Schizosaccharomyces pombe: one gene and its partner. The main gene of each other region encodes a partner of the protein of the gene in region 2 in a complex. Each region holds a gene or a part of one and is shown on either strand. Other genes may lie near its edges. The genes, in order: nup120 and nup37. A codon is read from its position in the direction of its gene.

The links.
Region 1: the proteins of nup37 (region 2) and nup120 are in contact, whole or in part, in a crystal structure (PDB 4GQ2), measured with the Schizosaccharomyces pombe proteins. Residues at the interface, in NP_594761.1 of Schizosaccharomyces pombe: Arg15 (codon at 6,041), Tyr17 (codon at 6,035), Leu71 (codon at 5,704), Gln107 (codon at 5,596), Lys130 (codon at 5,527), His134 (codon at 5,515), Phe136 (codon at 5,509), Asn138 (codon at 5,503), Asp162 (codon at 5,431), Asp163 (codon at 5,428), Cys164 (codon at 5,425), Thr165 (codon at 5,422), Pro182 (codon at 5,371), Leu183 (codon at 5,368), Ser184 (codon at 5,365), Gln199 (codon at 5,320), Arg205 (codon at 5,302), Asn206 (codon at 5,299), Asn208 (codon at 5,293), Arg210 (codon at 5,287), Asn231 (codon at 5,224), Pro232 (codon at 5,221), Trp233 (codon at 5,218), Leu234 (codon at 5,215), Leu235 (codon at 5,212), Thr236 (codon at 5,209), Asn238 (codon at 5,203), Leu240 (codon at 5,197), Pro241 (codon at 5,194), Leu242 (codon at 5,191); in NP_596674.1 of Schizosaccharomyces pombe: Val409 (codon at 6,249), Pro410 (codon at 6,246), Thr411 (codon at 6,243), Asn412 (codon at 6,240), Met413 (codon at 6,237), Ser414 (codon at 6,234), Ser415 (codon at 6,231), Gly416 (codon at 6,228), Asp417 (codon at 6,225), Ser419 (codon at 6,219), Glu420 (codon at 6,216), Asn468 (codon at 6,072), Leu471 (codon at 6,063), Ser472 (codon at 6,060), Val475 (codon at 6,051), Ser476 (codon at 6,048), Ile478 (codon at 6,042), Gln479 (codon at 6,039), Ile480 (codon at 6,036), Glu481 (codon at 6,033), Pro482 (codon at 6,030), Leu486 (codon at 6,018), Thr487 (codon at 6,015), Gly488 (codon at 6,012), Tyr489 (codon at 6,009), Tyr491 (codon at 6,003), Tyr494 (codon at 5,994), Lys495 (codon at 5,991), Tyr597 (codon at 5,685), Glu601 (codon at 5,673).

The regions. Positions count from the first base shown.
Region 1 is NC_003423.3:4,011,295-4,024,335, forward strand, and holds nup120 (nucleoporin, WD repeat Nup120), read right to left. Parts: upstream 7,557-13,041; 5' UTR 7,474-7,556; coding exon 4,063-7,473; 3' UTR 3,932-4,062; downstream 1-3,931. Other genes in the region: Sre1 cleavage-activating protein Scap Scp1, read right to left, coding at 164-2,495, 2,553-3,481; Fe-sulfur protein Isa2, read left to right, coding at 9,015-9,460, 9,530-9,701; vma7 (V-type ATPase V1 subunit F), read right to left, coding at 9,908-10,134, 10,193-10,328; GrpE domain-containing chaperone mge1, read left to right, coding at 11,253-11,924. UniProt on the Schizosaccharomyces pombe protein: Functions as a component of the nuclear pore complex (NPC).
Region 2 is NC_003424.3:4,865,546-4,876,633, reverse strand, and holds nup37 (nucleoporin), read right to left. Parts: upstream 6,291-11,088; 5' UTR 6,135-6,290; coding exon 6,109-6,134; exon of another isoform or gene 6,058-6,108; coding exon 5,981-6,057; exon of another isoform or gene 5,908-5,980; intron 5,812-5,907; coding exon 4,739-5,811; 3' UTR 4,608-4,738; downstream 1-4,607. Other genes in the region: ceo5 (TTC27 family TPR repeat-containing protein), read right to left, coding at 1-1,059; glutaredoxin Grx1, read right to left, coding at 1,675-1,808, 1,932-2,029, 2,198-2,250, 2,345-2,365; hit1 (HIT zinc finger domain-containing protein), read left to right, coding at 3,881-3,948, 4,062-4,458; SPOM_SPAC4F10.17 (uncharacterized protein), read right to left, coding at 7,675-8,046; SPOM_SPAC4F10.16C (P-type ATPase), read left to right, coding at 8,524-11,088.

The DNA of each region.
Region 1 (13,041 bases), on a different chromosome or scaffold from region 2:
ACACAATGGAAGCACATATTTCTTATTCAAGAACGAATGATAAGCCCTAAAGTGGTCTTATAACAATCCCGACAACCATGACATGCTAGCAAACGGTATCGCAGCTATATATACATATATATATGCACATCAACATAGGGCTAATAAACAAGAAGTACTAATTTTAACATCCGATGGTCCCCGATCTTTTTCTCTGTAAATTTTTTCTTTTGCGACGTAAAATTCTGTCCATCTCATCGGAATTTCTGATTTGGTAAAAATCACGAAAGATTTCACTTCCATAGCCGACTAGTGCAACGTAATTACCTAGAACAATGGCTACGCATCTATCAGAGACTGCAAGAGAAGGTCCAGGGTCTGCAATAATTAAAGAATTATACATCTTTAAAGATTTGCAGCGGTGCTTCTTTTCAGATTGAGAGTACATCCAAACTTCCCATACCTGGGTTTCACCACCACTATGCGTATTTTTTTTGTGTTCCATGTCTTGCATATAAGAATCTAGAAGGGGTACATAAGACGTCCAATTGTAATGGCCAGTTCGCAACTTTCGGTTACGAAGAGTAAAACCATTATCTTCGTTTTTCTCATCTGCTGTTGGACAAATCCCCGATGAACTTTTTCTTCGCATGCCAAATATGTAGAGTCCATCTGAGCTCATTACACATTCACTAGCATCTTCGACTTCATGGATATTTTCTTGTAGTTCATCAAAGGTCAAGCAAGCCAGCGAATTATCAGGATCGTGTACGTCCACAAGATTTGGCTGTTGATCCCATTTATTCAATATAATATAAGACTCATTACATTCATTACCGTAGTAATAATAAAGAACCTTTTCGGTAACAGCGTGAGTAAAACAAAACGATATTGATGACACTCTAAACTGTCCATTAACAAATCGACTGTTACTCACGCCAACTGAAAAAGTGTTTACTTTTATCGGCGGCAGTGTAAAGGAATGTAATAGTTCATCGTTTTTAAGGTCAATCATGTCGACACCACTATCTCGAGCAAGAAACAAAATGTCCGCCATTGCAATTCCATAAATATCTTTTTTTGTTTCTGTTAGATAATTTTTGTTTTGAGATAAAATCTTTGGGGACCAGACGGGTCCTTTTTTAGAATATACAGTCACTTCACCGGATTCAGTCAAACAAGCAATTCTATTAGCCGTGGGTGAAACGATACTTATTGATTTAATAATCGGAGAACTTAATTGAAACTTTTCAACCAAAGCTATATCTGCACCTTCAATTTCAATAGTCAGACTAAAAACCTGAATTTCGCCTGAGCTTTCAACAACCACTAGCTCAAAGTTTTTCCATTCATCATCTTTATGCGTACCCGGCATCCAGAACACGTTTAATTTGCTATTTGGCTTACAGTGATAGGAATGTTGAAGCATCAAGCAAGGAGATTCTACATTCAGAATGAATAAAGTATCCTTTGAGAACAACGAAACGTAGTTTCCCTGAGGATCTAAAGCTATTGCTTTTAACGTCCTGGGCATTTGTTCTTTTGAAAGTACAAGCTTTGTACACCATTGACGTAAATCCCAAACTACAAGACACCTATCTAACCCGACGGAGGCAAACGTCTTATAGTTTTCAGATACAGCAATTTTTAAAATGTCAAGCTGATGATGAACAGGAACGGGTTCTATTCTGAATTTTTCCTCATGTAATGTTGTATCGGTTGAAAGCTCGTCATGGTCAGACCAGCCTCGCAAAAGTGCTTTAACAAGCAACCCAACCGCAAAATCAATTGCGAACAGTATGCTGAAAAATGTTGACCATCTCCATACTCTCCGGTCATGAAACGAGTTGTAGACATTAGTGTAATCACGACGGTTAACAGTGTCAAGAATAACTGGTCGATACAAAGCAATAACAAGGTTTTCCGCCATCGTCTTCTCTTTTAATGCTTCTAAAAAAGTGGGGTCACCAAACCAACCGGTCGTAATCAGTGGAAATAACTTTCGTTCTCGTAAAATACGGCCTAAACGATGATATAACGTAATGAGAAAGCGAATGTTAGGAGATGCTAATCTCCAAGACCCATTGATATCTGTACTGGATTGGAGTTGTAAATAAATAACGTACATATGAAATGAAACAGTACCAAGATTATCGATAATCCATGGAGACCACATGAATCTTACGTATTCTAGATACGGAACCCACCATTTTGAGTTTCGATTAGAAGAGTTTGAATCTAAAAAATCTTGCAACTCCAAACGACGTATATCGACACTTAGGACCGCTAGAAAAAAACTTCCATGCAGTAAAAAACTAACGACGAAAGAACAGGCAAGAAACAAACAAAACTCCTGCACCAGAGGATAAACAAAGAAGCTCAAGACAAAAAGAGTCAATAACTTCTTAAGTAAGGATGAAAAGGAGGCAATAATAGTACTAGAAAACCCTTCCATTATACGAGAAGGAACACGCTTCGTCTGAGGAGAAGCGATTACTGCGCGTAAAAGTCGAAATCTGATAAGTTAGTAATAAAACGTTCACATAATGACGAAGTATAGCAAAAAAACTTACGAGTTTTCAATGTCCATAAATATGATAATATAGTAAGCCATAGGCCATGGACATATGGGGCCCGTTCTTTCAAAGAAATACAGCAAAGAACAGGTAGAGAAGTAGGCAGTACCGCTTTGAATAAATATAGTCGCTGTAAGACCAAATTTAGCACGAATATCATGCAACCGCACAAGTGACAAATACAAATATGCAAAAAGTCCGACTCCAAACCCAACCCATAGGTACCATCTGTAAATAACAGTAAGGTCAGGAATACGTGCTACGACAGTGGTAGGGGATGTATCAAGTAAACTTGCATATAGATTAGGAGTTTCGGAAATAAATTTCTTTAAAACAACATGAAAAGTATCGACTTGTTCAGGCTTTAAAAAGTAAGTAATCACAAAAGCACTAAGCGAGTCAAAACCTTCGGCTATTGTATCATTCCTAAGCTTGTTCACTTCACGCTCATTTTCAGGAAGCCCTTTAGTATATGAATATTGAGCTACAGGATCAACCTTACCATAATATTTTGGTATTGGAGAAATAGTTACACAGGATTTTTCATCTCTTATGCAAGGATACCCGTATTCCGCCAAATATTGATGGAAGCTTGTTTCCCAACGATACGCGTTTGAAAGATAGTCTTCGGAAAACACTGATGTGTTCGTTCCTAAAAGATAGAGTTGTTTCGTAATAACATTTGCTTCAGCATTGATGCTCTCGGCATACCAAGCCGACCATCTAGCTAATGATTGATCGTAAAGGGATTGCTGATACGCTACCAACGACGAATATATACCTGTGATTGATAAAAGAGTAAACACAAGAATGAAATACCAAGGATTATTGGCAATACAGTAGCTGTACTTGGCAAATAATGAAGGGTTAACTTGCCGAGCATACCCTCGTGAAATTCGGCCTTTTCCAAGAGTAAAAATCCTCATAACGATATTTTCAGTTCAATAACATTGGTAAACGTTCATTAATTAGATCTTTACAAGACCGATATACCCAATTCACTGAGAATCAGTTTTCGCAGGTCTTGGTGTTTTGTACATTCCTTCGGGACCCGACAAATTTAAATTCGGGCACACGGCGTGCAATTTCCGTACACTATTATTAATAGAGAATTATTTAATCTGAAACCAAAAGTTTCAAAAAAATGTTATAAAATAAGGAAATAAAAATTCAAATATATAATTATTGTTGGTTCCAACATTCTGCCGATACTAGCCGTATCTCAACAATATTTCCCAACGGACAACACTAATTAGCAAACTGCGGCAAGCTGCAGCAAAAAGGTCGGAATTATAATTCGTTAAAGATATGTAAATACCAATGCTATCGAAAGTATATTTATATTCAGAATTTAATTTTATAGAAAGAAGTTAGTTATTTATGGCTACCCATCGCCTCAATGAAACTAAAGATGATTTAATTACTAAAACTCTGCCAAGCATATTGCTTTTTTTCTGGATTTTTCTAAATGAGAAGGTTAAGCTGCGTAAATAATTCTTTGTTGCCTTTATAAATCGATATTCATGGCCGATGACATTTCAGCTGTAACTTGAACAGCGACATCCTTCAACTGTAAGTGATATTCTGCTACAATTGCATCTAGAGTAAGTAATTTTTGTGGAAGAAAGTTAGGGTCAGGTTCCTTGTCCACGGACATGTCTGTCACAAGAATCCATGTATCTTCTTTCGGAAGCAACTCCAGAGTGTTCAAAACAATCAAATAATGTTCTATTATAAAAGTTCTCTCCTTTTTTCCAATTAATTCTGTAGTAGAGATATACCGGCTCAGTTTTTCATAAATAATTGCTGCTGCGTCTCGATAGTTTTGATGTTTATACCGCCAACTAAACAAAATATTATACCAGCATGGTTGTGATTCAACGTTAATCATTTGAAAGGCCTTTCGCTCAAGCAAATTGTCGACGTCCTGTCTTAACGTTGGCATTGAATAATTTAGAAGCTGATTTATTTTACCTTGTTTCGTTAATTGATTTACAAAGTCTAGTAAACATGACTTTTTCAAAGGCGTAGTGGATAAAACCATCAATGCAACGTGAGCAGCGTCAAACTTTCCTGCTGCACAAGCGGTTTTTAAAGTCTCATGGGTAATTGCAATAGACAAATCTTCGTCGTCAGTCTCTTTCGAGGCATCTGCTAATAAAGAAAATTCTAATGCATCTATATATGCACTCTCCTCGAACAGCTTTTTTGATAGATGAAGGTAATAACACGATAATAGGTTCTGATGGTGGTATTTTTCAGCAATTTCTTGAAACTCCCGTAAAACTGCGAATTGAGAAGTATGTGAGTAAAGGACTAGAGAAGTAGTCTTGAAACATCGGACAGCCTTAACAGCTTCTTTCGATTTGAGATAAATAAGTGCTTTCAAGTAGACTGCAATTGGGTCAGAGTTAAGCCACCCTATTAATTGCATACATGCATTATATTGTTTGAATAGAAACAACTTTTCTACAAGTTCAGTGACCAGATCATTTTCCGTATCGTCCCTTATAAAGATTGCCGACAAAGACGATATCACGGTAGCATGTAAAGGTGAAATTTGGCTTTCTGAGAAACATTCGGAATAATTCAAAGCGGAAAAAAACTGAAGGGCTGTGTTAACACTTGCTAAAGCTTCCATAGTATTTAAATTACAGTTTGTTGAATCAACATCCTCCTCCTCAAATTTTTCTAGCAAAAGTGCAGAATTCTCTAAAAGAAAACTCACAAGACGCCAATCTTCTAGTAAAGAAAGAAATAATTTATCACATCCTGCAAATTTGGATTGTAACTCATAATCCTGCTGGCTAGTTATCAAAGAAAGTAGAAAAATAAATCCTTCAATAGAGACTTGAAACTTTTTCAAAATACTGTCCAAAACCCGTGCTACCGATGCACACAAAAATAAGGAAGGGGATTGAGCGGAATGGTTGTAAATATCGAAACTTCTTAAGCGTTGGATAAGAGAATCAATGTCGCGCATCGGGTTTTCAAGAGAAACTAGAGTATCAATTAAAGTACTGATATAATCTGGATCGACGTTGGGATATATGTGCTTGTCATAAAATACCCACAATGTATCAAATAAAGAATAAGATGGCAAATCCTGGACTAGTTCTCGTAATGAGTATCTAATTTCAGATAAAGTAGAAAATGACATACAGGAATGTAAACTCCTACCAAGATCCAGAATTTGATAACCTTCAATTAGAGAAGGATCATCTGTTTCAAGGGAACTAATTAATTTGGTCAACGGCTCTTCGTCAAAGGATTCAATGAGATAAGGATCCCTAATAAAAGCCACTTTATTTGCATAATTGATATATGTAACAGCGTTCGAAGGATCGAAGTTAATACTTAATATTTCATCTCCAAAATGATCCAGATATGCAACAAGTTTCGCAAACCTTTCCCATTCATTATATAATAGCCGCTTATATTCATAATAATCGTATCCAGTTAAATCTGAATTTGGCTCTATTTGGATCGTTGAAACTATAGACGACAAAACGGCATTTTTAAGTTCACTTATAGTAAGTGCGCCAAATTTATCCAGTTTATTTTTTGAAACTTGCGAGGAGCTGTTTTGAAAGCTTAAAAGAGCAACTTGTATAGACTCAATAGATGTATTATGTGCAAAAATGTGTTGTAGCCAAATCTCTGAGATATCCCCAGACGACATGTTTGTTGGAACGTCAAAAAAGGTTTTTTCTATGAGGGAAAAGCTATCCAAAGAGTGACTCCAAACGCATGAAAAACTCTCGTCCTGATCTAGACTAAGGTTGCATTTTTGGATAACGGTATTTAAGTTGCTTTTCCAAGCAATAATGAGCAAAAATTTAGATTGAGAGCCCTCTGACGATATCAGTTGAAAATCAGAAAGCATCCATGGTATGAACTCATCGTCTGGTAAAGAAGGAGGAATTATGCCCTTCTCGATGACAACATTTAATTTAAAAGAGTGGGCGTTTGCGTTAAGTTTGTAAATTGAAAAAGAGCCATGAGAATTATCTGGGTAATACAGAGCGATGAAAGAATTAGTGGTGTGATCTGAAGTTAAATAAGGAAAGGATTGTAGAGGAAGTATAGTCTGTGACAGTTCAATGGTTTCGACGCATTGATTAGTAGACAAATCCAAAACTTTTAACTTATAGTCAAGCGATAGCATCACAAGAACATTATAGGTAGACAAAAAAATCATTGAAATAATAGTATTAGGAGAGCGGTAATCTGCCTTAAATGCCTGAAGTGATAGATATTTTTTTAGGGAAAACAAATAACTAGAATCATCAATATGCTGTTCGTAGTGACTAGCGTCTTTTGGATTTAATATAATCTTTGTTAAACCTCCATTGAAAAAGCTTACACAAATTTCAGACGTGCTAATTGCGGCCATTAAATCGGGTTTTTGATTCAGAAAGGATATTGGTCGGTAACAAAGACACCAATCGTCGTCTAAGCGAGCGTCCGGTAATTGGAACCAAGTTTTAGATAATCTAATATAATACAAAACGCGAGCGTGAGTAATAGCATATATAATGGTCGTGTCGGAATGCTCACTGAACGAGAAAGCTACACCGTCCTTCATTACGTTGGATGGAAAATGAATTTTCACATTAAATTTTGATAAAGGCTCCTTCTTAGAATTTAATGAAACATCAAAGATAGTGAGTGTTCTGTTTTGGAATATACTCCATCGTAAAGTTTGTGAACCTTTGCTTTTATTTGAGGTATAAACACCTGCATCATATGCTACACATTCCTTTTTAAAAAGTTTTTCATTATCATCAGCTGTTTCTATAGCTTCAGAATCGTCTTCCGAGTCGTTTTCGAGAGCTGGAACCCACAACGCCAAAGTTCCTTCCAGACAAAAAGATTGTAAGTCTATCGGAACTACCGCATGCTTTAATTCATTCATATTTTGATTTTATTTTTTACTGGTAGCGGTAATACCAGTAGAAATACCAAACAAATAGCTAACAATAGGGGGCAGTTCTGGTTGAGTATCGTAGACAACGACCTACACGAGTTAGCGTAAGACAGGCCAGTCCTACAACGAATTTATGAGAAACGCGTAAATACGAGTATATTTGTAATTCTTTAGCTTTTTAGGGTAGAGGGAGATGGAATGTAAAACTGAATTTTCTTCTTGAAGATTAAGTTCCTTAATAAAATAGAATCATTTGATTGTGGATGAAGAAAGCTAAACAATTTGATAGTTTTTATTAATCGAGCAATTCCTTTGTATTCATAATAATAAAAAAGGAATCAAATATTCATTTAAAACTCAAGAGCTTAAATGGATTCTCTATTTTATTTGTGAAATTACATACAACAGTAAAAGATCTTCAAGATATCAGAAGCCTTTCTTAGATTATTGTTAGTTTTTTTTATTATTTTTTGTATACCTGTAACTTTTTAGCTGTTGTTTTAAGAGATTAAATCTATTTAAATTAACAGTACTCATCTTTAGGGTCTTAATTTACAGCCTTTCAATCTTTTTTAATAAAATAGTTTTCTAATTTTCTAGTTTTGTTTATTTTTAAATTTTGCAAATTCTTAGTAAATAAAACATGTAATATTTTCAACCATACGTTAAATTGTAAATTACATTTTAATAAATATTAATTACGTGCAAGGGTGAATTATTGTTCATTGGCATGCAATTTATAATTTATTTTTTTTATTGCAGATACAACCAATTCTAAGTCTAATAGCCAAGATCTCTTATACCTGATTCAATATTACAATTGCGGTGATATGTGCTTGTACGAACACCCGCAACTTTATAGTAATTAAGCGGTAGTACATACACTGGTATCACGATAAAGAATTAGCTAAAGTAGAAGATTGTAGCAATGGCATCAATTGTGATAAAGACATTTTCTGGATGTGATCCACCGGTCTATGCTAGAATTAAAGGATCGACAATAAATATCCAGAAGAAGAATTAACCAAATGGGTTGAAATTATCTCTAATAGCTAAAAATCTATTCATTTAAAACTGAAAGAGAATTAAAGGAGTAGGAGTACCAAAAGGTAAAAATAATCCAAAGATATTAATTTTGACTATAAATCATCACAAAATTTAGTAGCATACAACATAAGTAAAAAAGAACATTAAATAATTCTAGATATATTTGATAAATTCCCCTTATTCTCTACTAGCTATGGGTGTGAGAGTTTTGTAAGTTCGAATTCAATCTATCCGATATAAATCTCTTAGAGATTGGGTGTTAACTAATAGGTAAATCCCTGAATTTGACTTTAGTCTATGACACACTCGTCAAGTTATGACTATTTCATTTATGTACTTAACTTCTCTATCTCATAAACATAAGCACCAATTTGGAATATACTGAATTAACGAAACAGAGCGTAGGCAATTTGACTTCTATTACGTTACTGTATGTTTACAAGTTAGAAAGTCCTAACTTGTGGCTATAATACTTTGCAGTGATGCTTATGAAATCGCGAGTAAACTTATTGTTTAAAGGACCATTTTTCTTTCGAGAACGTTGTTTTCAAACACTCTTAAATCCTGTGATCGCAATTCGACAGCTATCGCATGGATCGCTTAGAAATTCTCGATCATGTAGAATTGATGCGAAATCGAATACATTAACGAAAGAAATATTTCCCAAAATAAATAATGAATTCAAAATCAAAAATCGATTTTATAGCTCAAAGCTTGCGAACGACCAATTCACGCTTCAAGAGCAATGTGACGAGAAGGGAATCCCTTTTATTTTATACGTGAAAGATTCAGCGAAAAAACAGTTAGAAAAAATTGCAGAAAGGAAACCAGAAGAAAACTCTGTTTTGCGCGTCACTGTCGATGGTGGTGGATGCCATGGATATCAAGTATCTTTTCGCATGGACAACAAAATTGGAAATGCTGACACGTAAGTGATGTGGTTAAGAAGACTATAAGTTTTAATTAAGTATTTCCTGGTTATTGACTAAATATCTAGGGTATTTGTGCGTGGAAAAGCCAGGGTTGTTGCTGACAACATTTCATTACCTTTGATAAGTGGCTCTGAAATTGAGTATACAAATGAACTTATTGGTTCCTCTTTTCAACTTTTAAACAATCCACGTGCCAAGACTTCTTGTGGTTGTAATGTCAGTTTTGATGTTGAATGAGATTTATACTTAAAATAATACATTTCTCTTATAATCACTTTTCTATTTATCAAATATAGTTTAACAAAAACTCTGCTTACAATTTTTTGCTAGTATGCCAGTAAGTAAACCAAAAGATACAAATATAAAAGTGTCATCAGTCAAATCGATCGAGTTGTTGACTAATTGAAATTATTGCTCAAAAAATATAATTAAATATTAATAGTCTATTCTCCAATGATCTTTCTAACACGACGGAGGATACTGTCCTTTTCAGGATCATAAGGATCGTCTTTGCTAGGAATTTCCAATACAGCAGGGAATGCCTGCACATGGTTTTCAATACGATCACGTATTCTTTCAGCGGCAAACTGGTTAATCAATACAATCGCAATATCCTTCCTTTTCGTAGTATAATCATCAAAAGCTTCAGCAATCTGCTCATCTGTAGTCTCTACATAAAACAGCAAGTTAGCGAAAACACGATTCCATTTTTTAACAGATAATCTTACTCTGAGTAATTATAAAAAAGTTTTTGTCACCGTTTTCATTTACCTGACCAGTTCCAGCTAAAAGCATCCCAGTAACGGTATCATCGTCTCCAATTACAGAAACAAGTGTCCGTTCTCGATATGATTGTGAAGACATGATTTAGAGAGATAAGTATTTAGAAAATCTAGGTAAACGTCCAAGCAGGAAAATAGGAGAGTATGGTGCTACTTGAAAGCGCAACTTCTGGACTAGTAGGCGATTAAAAGTGTTCAGTGGTTGAATCGTAAATTTTCACAAAGCTTAGATAAATATTTAACAGAAAGCTATGGCTCTGCCTCTACAATCCTCAAATGTATTCCTGAGTTTAAGTAGTGATGGTGGATGAAAGTGTAAGGTCCAATACCGATAAGACATATCTGACACTTAACTAAGGTACCTTTTATTATGAAGACTTCTGTAATTAAGAATATGATATTATTATAATAGGAATTTGTGAAAATTCGACTCCCATAAATTGTTCAACAAATATCATTATGCAAATAAACTGATGAATGTAAAAATAATAAGATGGCCCAGATGACACAAATAGGATTATTTTAAAACTTAAATTATAATATTCAATTATTTTACTTTCAAAGGCTGCGAAGTAAGTACTTCGATATAATCCAATGCCGTAAAGCATACCAAGAAGGATATAAATATAGATGAGAAATCAGTTAATTATTATCTGTTGAGAATGAAGCTGAAAAGAATAAATTAATAATTGATAAGCATATGAGCCGTTGTTGGCTTCCAGTGTTGAGCAAATTCGAAATTTGGGTTGCTTTCCTACATGCATGTTCAAACCTACAATCAATTTGTTACATATCGAAATAGAAGCTTTAATTTGAGAAAAAAGTGTCATTTATATATTTTTTGAATCAGCTTCCATCTCAAAGTCCATACCTCATTTAACGAAACATAACGAATTTTTAAGTTGATGAAATTGATATTTGTAAAATTTAACAGTGCTAAGTTCACAACACCATTTGTCTATAGTGTGACACAGTTGTCTTTTACCACAAAGCTCTCACTGAAACAATGCTTGGGCTTGGAAGAGTATTTTCATCCGCTGTACGTCCTCGGACGCTTATTCGAGCACCCATTAATAAACGCAGTTTCCTTTGGTACTCAACTGAGGCTGCTAAGGAAGAAAAGCCTGCTGAAGAAAAAGTTGCCGAAACAGAGAATGTTGATGTTAAGGAACTTCAATCTAAGCTTTCTGAGCTTAAAAGTAAATATGAAGCAAAGGACAAAGAGGTTGCGGAGTTAAAGGGTAGCATTCGCCAAAGCTTAGCTGACTATCGTAATTTGGAAAACCGCATGAAGAGAGACATGGAGCAAACACGTGCATTTGCTGTTCAAAAGCTTACTAAGGATCTTTTGGATTCTGTCGATAATTTGGAGCGTGCTCTTTCAATTGTTCCAGAGGAGAAGCGTAACAATCGTGAGTCCAACAAGGATTTAGTTGATCTTTATGAAGGTTTAGCAATGACTGAATCGAACTTAATGAAAACCTTAGGAAAATATGGTTTAGTTCGCTATGACGGTATCGGAGAAGATTTTGATCCTAACATCCATGAAGCTGTTTTCCAAATCCCTGTTGAAGGTAAAAAGCCCAACACTGTCTTCCATTGCGAAAGCAAGGGTTTTCAATTGAATGGAAGAGTTATTCGTCCTGCCAAGGTTGGTGTTGTTAAGGGAGACGACTAGAGGAGCTAGTCAAAGATGATAGCAAGGAGCATACGAATACGTCGTTTCACCTATATTATTTTAATGACCAATTCGGGGTTTTTTTTTATTTTTAAACTCTCAATGTTTGTCTGGAAAGTCCTTTGTGGTATTATTGGATTTTTTCAGTCTTTTCAGGGGAACCAGAAGTCTTTCTGTGCAGATGCTTTTTTCTGCAAACTAATAGTCAAAGACAGATCGTAAAAAGTTTCATTGCATTTTTTGGGCTATGGGTACATTATTATATTTTTACCGAGGGGACTTGAATCCAATGTTTTTGTGTGGTTTGGGTTTATTGTTTAGTGATTTGCTATCACAACATAGTACCTATTTTTACTTACATTTATAAATAAAATTTTTACTCTTTAATACTATAGCTTTCACCCAAACTGGTTAAAGAATTTTGATATTTCCTTCTAAAGATTACTCAAAAGCATTTCTTTAAGAGTTAAAAGTGGAACCAAGTGGAAGGTATGTATTCTATCATTTAGTTTTATAGAATATTAAAGTTCCGAAAGTTGATATGTGCTTTAACGGTTAAGCCTCCTTTTCAAGTATTCGTAGAAGTTAAGCTAGTGTTCTGTATTACAAATTAGTAAGGAATTTTGACTAGTTTAGATGATTTTTTTGTTTTTTATAAAATAGATATGTAATAACAAACTTGCTAATAAAGTATTGATTGGAAGCAGCTAGCCTGTTCGAACTAAGCCATAGTATAAGACATTACTCAATCAGCCTAATCTAATAGATAGATATTCAAAGTTACAAATGATAAGCATGAGATCGTTTGTGGGTGATCCCGTTGCTTTTAACTTTATTAAGAATCTAGTCAATGAATAGTTTTTAATCCAGCACTGATATCGTCAGAATTGCATATTCGAGAGATATATTCATTTTTTCCAGCTCAGTAATTACACTATTACTAAATAAACTCACTTCTTAGCGATACACTACCGCAAGGGTTTACGTCTTTATTTAGATCAAGAAATGGTGCCTTGCATACTACTCGAACGTGGTGTAAAATTTACCCTTACACAATAAGTGTTGCTTGGCAACACGTTTTGCTTTCTTTCCTTCTATAGAGTTTTCAATAACAGGA
Region 2 (11,088 bases):
TACAAGCAAAGCCATTGTATAGACAGACCAATTAACAGGATAAACCAAAACGCGCTCTGCGTAAGGCGCCATTTCTTCACGCGTAAGTCCATCATCAGGATTGTTATTCTTTATGATATGGCAAAATGCAAGTAATAGAGATGCGTCCAATGGATCAAGTTTCGAGGGATGATTGGGATCTTCGGATGACAAAATCGGATCAAGTTCTTCAGAAGGAGCCAATGATTTTTGATCTTCTTTAAAGGAGATTTTCTCCAAAAGAGTATCATCATTTAACTCAAATGTTATCGGTTGAGTGCTAGTTGATTTGTTCTGCTCGGTATCTTTGCATCGGTCTCTAGACTTTGCTAAAACAACTAGCTGCGAAGTATCAAACGTTTGGAATTTTGTGCGTCGACCAAGAGCACCAGTTAATTCAAAATGAAAGTCCATTACTTTTGCTGATTCCTTCATCAACTGCAGAGCTAAAGTATCACGACCGTAATAAGATTGTATGAGGCCCATTTCCATAGTAAACCGCCCTTGTAAATCTCGATCTAGTGAAGAAACATGACTACTCACGATATGCATGCCTTCCATTATTTGATTAAACAACTCTGAAACGTGCTCTTTAAGCATTTGTTGGTGCAAAAAATCAAGGCGAGCTTTATACCATATGTGCAAAGGATCTTTGCTATTTGCGTAGTTAAATAAAGTCTGCGAAAGTAAAAGAAATAAAAGTTTTGGTGCAAGTCGATAAGGCCTTTCTCCTTCCACAGTTAAACTTTTTATAATGGCATCCTTTAATGTAGCCTCGTCGCGTAAACGCTGTGGAAGCCATATTTCAGGCTTAATGGGAAGATATGGTCCAGTATAATTATTCTGAATAAAATATTCCAACATCTGTATTGCAGTCTCAGCGAATTGATCACTGCTGACATTTTTCCCTAGCGGCTTTGAATCCCAATATTTGAACAAAAATTTAGGAATGTCAATACTAGGACAGAAAAACTGATCATATTCTTCTGTGCTTTTTAGAGAACCTCCAAAAAGGACCTCTTTATTTTCTATTGCTACCATTGTTTGGCAAAACTGAAAATTTTTGATTCAACAAATATATTTTCAGACAATCAACCTATTAAGCATTTATCCCGTCTAATAGTGGAATTTCTGTATTTAAAACAAAAAGGAAATCAATTCAATTCAGTAGTGAGTAAGGAAAATAGCTATTTTTTAGTTTGCTACTACAGGAATTGAAGATTGGAGTTGGGAACTCTGACTAATGTACCCAGAAATTTATAAAACCCAATTTTCAAGAATAGGTTCAGAAACTCTTCGAATTTACAGAGGTCTAATGATAAAGGATAAAAATGGCATTAATATTCCTTGATTTTGTTTTACCAGTTCAATAATTAAATTTTCAAAAATTTAAATCAGCTAGTACAAATTGTGCACAGATGAGTTACTTAATAAAGTAATCGAAAAGAGCAGTATTTCTCGAGTGATTTATTACTCAAAATAAAAGCAAAATTTATGTGCTATGTTGTAGTTAGTAGCTAGGAAAAACAGCTGCATCTAAGTTCTATCATTAGCTTTAAAATACCACAGATTTAGATTTAAGAGCTTTATAATACAGGTTTCTTCAGTTTGAGATATGTAATTTAAAGAAAAAAATTTATTGCTCATAGAATTTCATTAGGCAGTATTAAAAAGAGAGTCGAGCTCGCCCTTCTTGAATAATGCTTGGAAATCCGAGTTACCACCAACATGCTTTTGGTGAATAAAGATATTGGGTACGGTACGTTGACCGGTCTTCTTCAATAAGTAAGCTAATCAAGGAGGTTAGTATGCTTTTTTTTATACCATCCATTTTATACAGACTCAAGGTCTATTATATTATAGACAGATCTAAACTAGCATCAAGCAAAACAACAGATGCAATAAAAACTTACATTGAATCTCATCACCGTTGTTCATAAGGTCAATCTGGTATACCTGAGCCTTAATTTTCTTATCAGCGATCACCTTTTCAGTAGCATGGCAGTAAGGGCTAAAATTAAGAGTTAATATCACTGCTTAACAAAAAAAATTAAGTAGTCGGTTCTAGGCATATGGAAGTGTAATTTGTTAAAACAAAAATACAAGCGTTCAAACTATGGTAAGCCAGTGTGACAAATACACGCCCTTATGCAACGATTACTTTACTAAGCAAACGTACCAGTAAGACTTGGCAAAAACAACAACATCGTTGTCAGCAACGGCAGAGTCAACCTATACAGAAATGTTAGTACCCTGTAAAAGAACATTTTACCAAAATTCAGCGACATTGTGGTTAATCTCTGATTCTAGCCAAACGGATACGTACAAATGATTCAACACTAGACATGGTTCTAATAACGTAACAAACAAAAACCTTTAAATTTGGTGGTATGTGGTAGGCAGATATGTATTATCAGTTGTGTATTATATATATGTGCATGGTTTTCCATATTGCTAATTCATACGTCAGTGGAGCACGTATCCCTAACGTTAGAAAAGTCTAGTAGACTTATACGTTAGTAAACGGTTCAATAACCGAAAGACTAGCATATGGCAGGGAATATAATGAATTTTATGATTTTTATTATTTTTTTTTTAAAACCGCCTATAATGATTTCGTGCAGAGAATTGTACTAGTTGGATGTTTTCTGTTCTGTATGACTTGTTTATTCTAGCGACTTAGCGTGCTTTGCATTGTTATGAATAATAAGACTAAATGATTGCGATTTCGAATAGATTTCATTTATTTACAAATCTTATGAGCTCTGGCTACAACAATTAATTAATTAACGGATTTAAAGTGCATAGAAAAAAAAAGGCTAACCTATTTTTATAATTGCGTATGTTTAACTTGAATTTTCGTTATCTGTTAAGTAATAACAGTCAATCAATTGAAATAAAAATTGTGAATTGAGACCAAATATACCTTCATCGAAAAACCCTGCTTAAAATCTTTTTATTATCTATTTTAGTTTTCTGTGTCGATTTGTTACGCTAAACCATTTTTAAGCTTCTAATAAAGCAATGATATTACCTTGCTCAAAAACATTTGCTCTTGATCAACTTAAGCTATGTTGCCTACCCATTGACATGAACGTCAACAATTTAGCTAATTAGATAAACTAATGATTTACTATTTTCCTTTTTAGAAAAAAATTCTGGAAAATAGAGCTGTAAATCAATTAGCATTTTAAATACATGATTCGATGTTTCATCTGCTAACTTTAATATACGCAATTAAGTAGATATTTTTGAATAATGACTCTAAGAACGTCTCAGCATTATACAAGCATATCCTTAAAGATTTTATCAGATACTTCCTTTTATATTAAAAAATGAAAGGTTGTGATTCAAACACGTTGCTTATCATTTAAGATCGTTAGGGAGGGCTATAAACAAAAAATTGGAAACTGAGGATACTTTACAACAGCGCTTTGATCCTTCCCAAAGAAAGATTCATAATTTATTTCCTTTAAATAAGTACTTTTTTTAAAAAGCTTAAACTATTTACGACTAAGTCACTAAAATTCGTAACCAGAAAATCATTAAAAAGCTTTATATAGTGAGGGGTAACGATAAGTAAATCCACCATGCTAATCTAAAAAAATGTACTCGCTAGAGATGCAGAGATAGTTTATATTGAGAATATTCAAAAAAATATTATTTTACTGTTTACCATAGCTTTCGAACATATCACAAAAGAGGGAAAAACCAGAGCCTTTTTATTCAGTGTTAACTGTATTTTGAACTAGCAAGGTTTGACGTTACTCTATTGCTCTTCTCCCTTTAATCTTATTTTGTTTGAGCTTGTCTAAAAAAAAAGGTTTCTCCTCTAATACATTAGAAAAATTTAAACGCTATCATGACAACTTGTTCAATATGCAACGAATCAGAAATAAAATATAAATGCCCGAAGTGTTCATTTCCTTAGTATGTGCTTGTAAGCTCAGAACAATGCATTTTGTTTCAATACACATTAACCCATGAACCAATGCTTTATTCTTTTTTTCTGTTTCCTAAAAATACTAATATAGAATTAATAGTTGTTCATTACCTTGCTGGAAAATCCACCAAAGTCAATGTGAGACTGTAAATGACAATAACACAACAACATTCAAAGGAGTTAAAGAACCTTTAAACCCCCCAGAACCTTCTCCTAATGTTATCTACGTTAATGGAAGAATCCCAAGTTTAGCAGAAGAGGCATTGCCAAGTGAAAGTCTTTTGGAATCTATTGTCGAAGATCCTAGCATAAAAAATTTAATTGAAAGTAATGCCGAGCTTTTACATATAATGAAAGAATTAGTGAACCTTGACCGTGAGGAAGAGGGTTCTGTTCCTCTGAAAACCTTAGATGCTATTCAGCAACAGCGGCTACACAATCCATCTTTCGAAAAACTGGCATCCATGATTCTGGAAAAATATTATGCTCAAAAATAATGGGTTTTATCATTGTAACGAACATTTAGAAGATTCAATTCAAATCGCATATCGGTTATTGGAAGTTGAAATATCAAAGGCGATATTTGAACCAAGGCGAATTGTTTACGAAAGCAACACATCCATTTAAAATTTTTAAAAGTAACAGCGTTTACACGATGTTAATACATAGCAAATACTACTTTTTGGTTTAACTATGAACATTAATATTTATTCAATACAATTTCCTCTCCTGAACCCGTTTATTTTAGTTCGATGTTAAGTATATTGTTCTATACCCTCATAATCTCGTAAACCCCATCAATCTGGTAAGCAAAACAGATCCTTCCGTAGCTATAGCAAGATGTGATCCATCTTGGTGCCAGCAAAAGTCAACGATGGGCATACCTAATTGAATAGGAATTGAATTCGAGTCCTTTTCATATGTATTAATGAGCTGTATTAAGCCGTGCTGAGAATGTGCCGTAGCAAAGTAATCCATGTAACGGGGATGTGGGCAAGCACCAAGCAAGGATGGGAACAATGAAATGCCTTGCACGTTGGGCAGTAGATTTTTGGGTCCCAATTTCATAGTGGAATCCGAGATTTCATTGTAATCGTTATTAGCAAAAAGATTCCAACGAAGCCAAGCCCCACTTTTACACATTGCAAGTATACCGCTTCCATCACTTCCGATCCATCGAACGTTAGCTAAAGAGGAAGCAATGCCGCTACTATGACAGGTGTTAACGAGTGGCAGGGTATTCAAAGTCAAAAGCCATGGATTTTTAACCAACTCGGTTTGAGAATTTTCTTCAGCTGATAAATTCAAAGTCCAGTCAAAAATCCTAATATTACCATTCCTTTCTCCAACAATCAATTGATTAGGATTAGATGGGCGAAATTGGACACTAATACCAGGGGAAGACAATGGGTATCCAGCTAAAATAGGCCCTTCATCAGTCAGTCTCCATATAATCAACGTACAATCGTCGCCCACAGATGCTATCACCTGCTCAGCGAGACGATTATCAGCGGAATAGACGTCTGCAATATCGATATCATTCACAAAATTATGATGCCCAGATTTTCCGCCCAACACATGTTGAGTAATAATGGTTTCATTCTTTGTAATTATTAGACGAACTGTATTATCCTGACACACACATGCAAGAAACAAAGAATACACAGGTGAGGAATTCACATTTCCATCGCCATCATGCAAATTCTCAGAATAACTACAGCTAGATGAAAAAGAAAGATGCAAAGTGGGTAACCCAGTTTGAATAGTGAACAACTCTTGTAATGTCAAACCTGTAGATCCGGGCGTCTGTTCTTCTGAAGCACAATAAATAGTGATACCCGTATCATGGCCTGTATAAGGTTAATCATTAGTTTAAAACGTTTAGAGGAATGCTATTTGAAGATAATTGTTTCATTAGCACTGAGGTTTTCTCAAATATTGTAACTTAGGAAAACAGAAAAGAAGAAATGAGTAATACGTAAATTACCATTCGTCGTAACATTCAGATATCTTACATACCTATGGCAAGAAGATTTGAACAGGAAGGAGACTGGGAACACCAAGTCGTTGTATACGGGCGGACATTAAGAGGCAATCTAATAAACAGAAGTTAGAAAGAGACATAAACGAAATAACGCTGAACGTACTGATACTGGTTAGAGGAAAGAGTCATGACGAAAAATAGTTTTCAAAAAAAACGGAAAGAATGAACGCTTTATTGTGCAGACAATAAAAAGATAAAGAAATTAAAAATGCATTTATATATACAAATGGAAAAAGAGAAGTTTCGGCCACGTTTTCTAGTGATATGGTGTTGCAGGTAACTAGTGGGTTACGTGAATTGGATGAAGCTGAAGAAAACGTTCTACCTTACGGAGCCAAAACTACCACCATTAATTTACAAAAAATCAAACGAAAACCTATACAAAGCAGTTTAGATAATGAAACACGATAAATATAACCATTTTAATGCAATTACTAAAATTTGTACTTATACTAAATATCTTTTAATAATTTAACTTATATTCAATTAACAAATAGAGTGTTTACTAAATACATCAAAATAAAACTATATGTAAAAAAACCAACACGATATTCCACTGATTTATTGCAGAACGAAAAGTAATAATTGCGTTCCGTATGAAGTATACAGCGGTTTTATTCTTTCCAACACGTTCCCCAAGCCAATTACATAAACCGTGACACAGGCTTGTGAATAGTGTGGATAAAAACGAATGTAAAGCATTGTAAACGACAAATGGGGTTTTTTATAGCATAATGATCATTTTAGCAGTCACATCTTCTCGTATAAACCAGATTTTGTGGAGGGAGTAAATGCAGTAAATATTGAAAATTTGAAAAAACCTTCGGAAATCTTAGCTTGGGCATTTCATTCTGAGCCGAAATCTTGGCAACTTCAAAAACCCAAGGGCTATGGCTATTCTTGCTTCAAGACTAGTAAAATATAATACAATCGAGTACTATCATGTTGGTGAATGATATTATGTTATTGACTGTAGAGCGTATATAACATGAGAATGTCACTGTACAATAACGGAATTTATTTACTTTAAAAATGTTGGCAAGTTGCAATACAAATTTGAAATTATTGCTTTGAACAGCCTTTGGGATTTATCGCTATGCTTACAACGAGCGGCATTGAATTTACTGGAGTAGAATGGCATGAATGTGTTTGACCAAAATGAGTATTATTACCATTATCCATTACAATGCCTTTATACAACTATCCGGCCTATAGAATAACAAAATTTAAATTTGACCATAGTAGCTGTTGACAGCATGTGGGCCATAAAGTTTTTACATACAGTCAAGTCCATACTAAGGCTAGCATCGGCAATGCAAAATATGCAGTATCACTGCCACGAATACCAGACTATACAACCGGAATATAATTAACACATCTCGCGATAATCTCATTCTTATTTAAATCATGAAATTTTTTTTTTTTGCTATCATCAAAAATTGAATTTATTTTGTAAATAAAAGCCAGGAACCGTTGAACTATGATTTTTAGTTTATTAACAATCTTCTAGCTTCGTTTTGTAAATCATGCATTGTTCGTTCATATAAATCCAAAAAGAAAGCGATGTTTTCAAACGTGAAGCATCTTTAAAATCATAAAGAGCATCAAGGAGCTTGTATACAAGCTTCCACTCAATACATTAACTCGATTCATTTACAAGGAATCCTCTTTATTCCTTTTTAACACCACCATCACGATTCATCCCCTCACGACGAGTTTCTTCGAGTACGTTTTCCGACCGTTGGCTAAATTCCTCTTTTATTTTCTTACCAGCATCTTTCGCCTTTTGCTGATAGTCGGTATCTTTTGCATCCTTGGCAGTTTGCTTTACCGATTGCTTTGCATTCTCAGCCATTTCCTGTGGTGACTTATCTTTGTTTTCATCTATCTTTTTCGAAGCCTTACCAGTTGCTTTTTTGACAGTTTGACTGATTTTCTCAGGTGCTTCTTCCAGTGTTTCTTTTATATATTGACGAATTGTTGTATTAGCAGGATTGGTTGCCTTCCAAGCGAAAGCAATTCTTGCAGCACGAAACGCCATGTTAACAATATGAAGATAAAAAAAATAAAGCAAAAAATATAAAATTTGTGTAAGTTTTAGTTACCAACGCTAGTGGGTATGAACTAAAACGTTATACTTTATCTGTTTATGGTGCCTTAGCAATTTTCCAATTCTGTTTTCTTTTTCAAGACGAAAAAAATTAAACAACAATAAATATGCTTTATTTGTTGTTATTGAGAAATCGTTTATTTACTTTACCCATACCCTTTGCACTGTATATATAGTACACCCCAGCACTTAAGGATTACATCAATACACATCATCTTGCCATACCCATTTTGCCTCCTCAAAGGACTTTCTCTACGCCGAATTTTGAGCTTAATTGAACTAATTCTGTACGTAAGCGATATCAATTCTGTTTATTTCCCAGTTGTGTCATTGGTATCGTCGAACGTTGCAGTCGTTCGTAATTCTGCAACTGATTGGGAAGAATTTGAGGAATTGTAGATCCCTTTGATGCCTAGCCTAATCAATTTTGATGCTATTAGTTCATTGAAATCCTCTTTGCATGGCTTATCCATATGTGCTTTTAATCATCTACACCATGTACCTCAGCACAATGGCTCATTAGCTCATGAGGGACCTACAAACCAAACTGATTATTCTTCTCGTCATCACGAAAGCCAGTTTTCACAAGAAGCACATGCGGAACAACGTTCGAGGGATGATGAGGAAGCTAACTCTTTTGAAGGTTCGTGTAACAACTCAGATCAGTCATGGACTAGCCGTGTTACATCAAAGAAGAATGAAGCTGGGACCGAAAGTGGAGATGCTTCTGTTCGCAGAATTTACGTAACTAGCATTCCAGAAGAACACAGGCATTTACCATCGCAATGGTTTCCTAGTAATAAAATTCGCACAACCAAGTATACTCCAGTTTCGTTTATCCCCAAAAATCTTTGGAATCAATTTAAAAACATAGCAAATGCTTTTTTTTTGTTTGTCACTCTTCTTCAATGTATTCCGTTGTTTTGTCCCGAGCACCTGGGCTTATCGTTTATTCCTTTGAGTGTTATTTTGCTTACTACAGCTATTAAGGATGGAATTGAGGATTATCGGAGATGTGTTCTTGATAAGAAGTTTAATAATACCTTAACTTGGAAATTGGTAGGGTTCAATAATGCCAATGCATTAGGCGAGCATATTGGATTATGGAGAAAATTAAAAAAATTTATTTCTCATACCGTCGCCGATATGTCCTATTGCCTTAAAAATTCCGGTATCTCATCTGGGCTCGCTACCTTAACCGTGGATAATATATCCCACAGGCACAGTCTCGAATCCGACTCTGCCTTTACTTTATCATCTGTTTCACAAGATAGTCTTGAGATTCATGAGATTGGTAACAGTGGTCCTTCCAACAGCTTTTCTGTCATCCAGGAACAATCAACAGGCTCATCGAATGCCAAATTTGAGCGTGTGTGTAGGAAAAGTTTGCTTGTGGGCGATATCGTTAAGGTTTTGGCTGATGAAGCGATTCCTGCTGACTTGCTCATCTTAAGCACAGAAAACTCAAACGGTGTTTGCTATGTGGAAACAAAAAACCTTGATGGTGAAACTAATTTGAAAGATAAATACGCATTATGCTCAACAAAATGCTGTAAATCAGAGTATAGGTGTAGTGCGGCATCTTTTTGGGTTGAATGTGAACAGCCTCATGCTGATCTGTACAGTTTGAACGGTGTCGTCAAAGCACCCGGCGCTGTGCAATCACCGTCTGAGAGTACAAACGGAAGAAAAATACATGAAGAACCTTTTAGTATTTCTAACGTTCTACTGTGTGGGTGTACTCTGAGAAATTCAAAATGGGTTATTGGTCTTGTTTTATATACAGGATCAGAAACTCGCATACAGAAAAATCGAGGGTTAACTCCTTCTAAACGAAGTCGCATTACTCGTGACTTGAATTGGACAATAATTCTCAATTTTCTATTATTGTTTGCTATGTGTTTATTTTCTGGTGTGTTACGCTCTATCTATTCAGCTCAGAACAACTCTGCAAGGGTGTTTGAGCTATCAAAAAATTCAAACACCGCTCCTGCGCATGGCATCATCAGCATTTTCACTTCCCTCATTCTTTTTCAAAATTTAGTGCCGATTTCTCTATATATCACTATGGACATTGTTAGAAGCATACAGTCCTATTTTATTTTTAGTGATCGAGAGATGTATGATGAAAAACTAGACTGTCCTTGTTCTCCGAAATCGTGGAACATATCCGATGACCTTGGACAAATAGAGTACATATTTTCAGACAAAACCGGAACTCTTACTCAGAATATAATGAGTTTTAAAAAATGTTCAATTAACGGTATTCGCTATGGCAAAAGTCACAATGAAGATACATGCATCAAAAAACGAAGGAATTTAAATTACAATGAAAACTTATCATGCAAGGTTGACTTGGATAAAAAGAAAATGCTTGAGACATTAAGTTTAAGCGACTCACCTAACCCAGAATCAATCACTTTCATTTCAAGTAAATTCGTCGACCATCTGCAATCCAACGAAAATTATATTCAAACTGAAGCCTGCTTCGAATTTTTTAAAGCACTCGCTCTTTGCCATTCTGTGGTAACAGACGTCCAAGACGAAACACTTATTTACAATGCTCAGTCTCCAGACGAAGAAGCATTAGTGAAAGTTGCTCGTGATTTCGGGTTTACGCTTCTAAATACAAAAAACAGACGCTATACTATTCGCATTAGGGGTGAAAATAAGAATTTTCGAGTTTTGGATATAATCCCTTTTACTTCTACGAGAAAGCGTATGAGCGTGATAATTCGTGATGAGGATGGTATAATTCATTTAATTTGTAAAGGTGCGGATACGGTAATATTTCCAAGGCTTTCCAGCGGACAAAACAATATCATTGAAAAGACGAAGAAGCATTTAGCTTCATTTTCATCCGAAGGATTTCGTACGTTATGTATCGCTCGTCGAACTATTGATAAGCAAGATTATCTTGAATGGAAAGTGAATTTCAACGAAGCTAATAGTGCCATTCATGAACGGAACGAA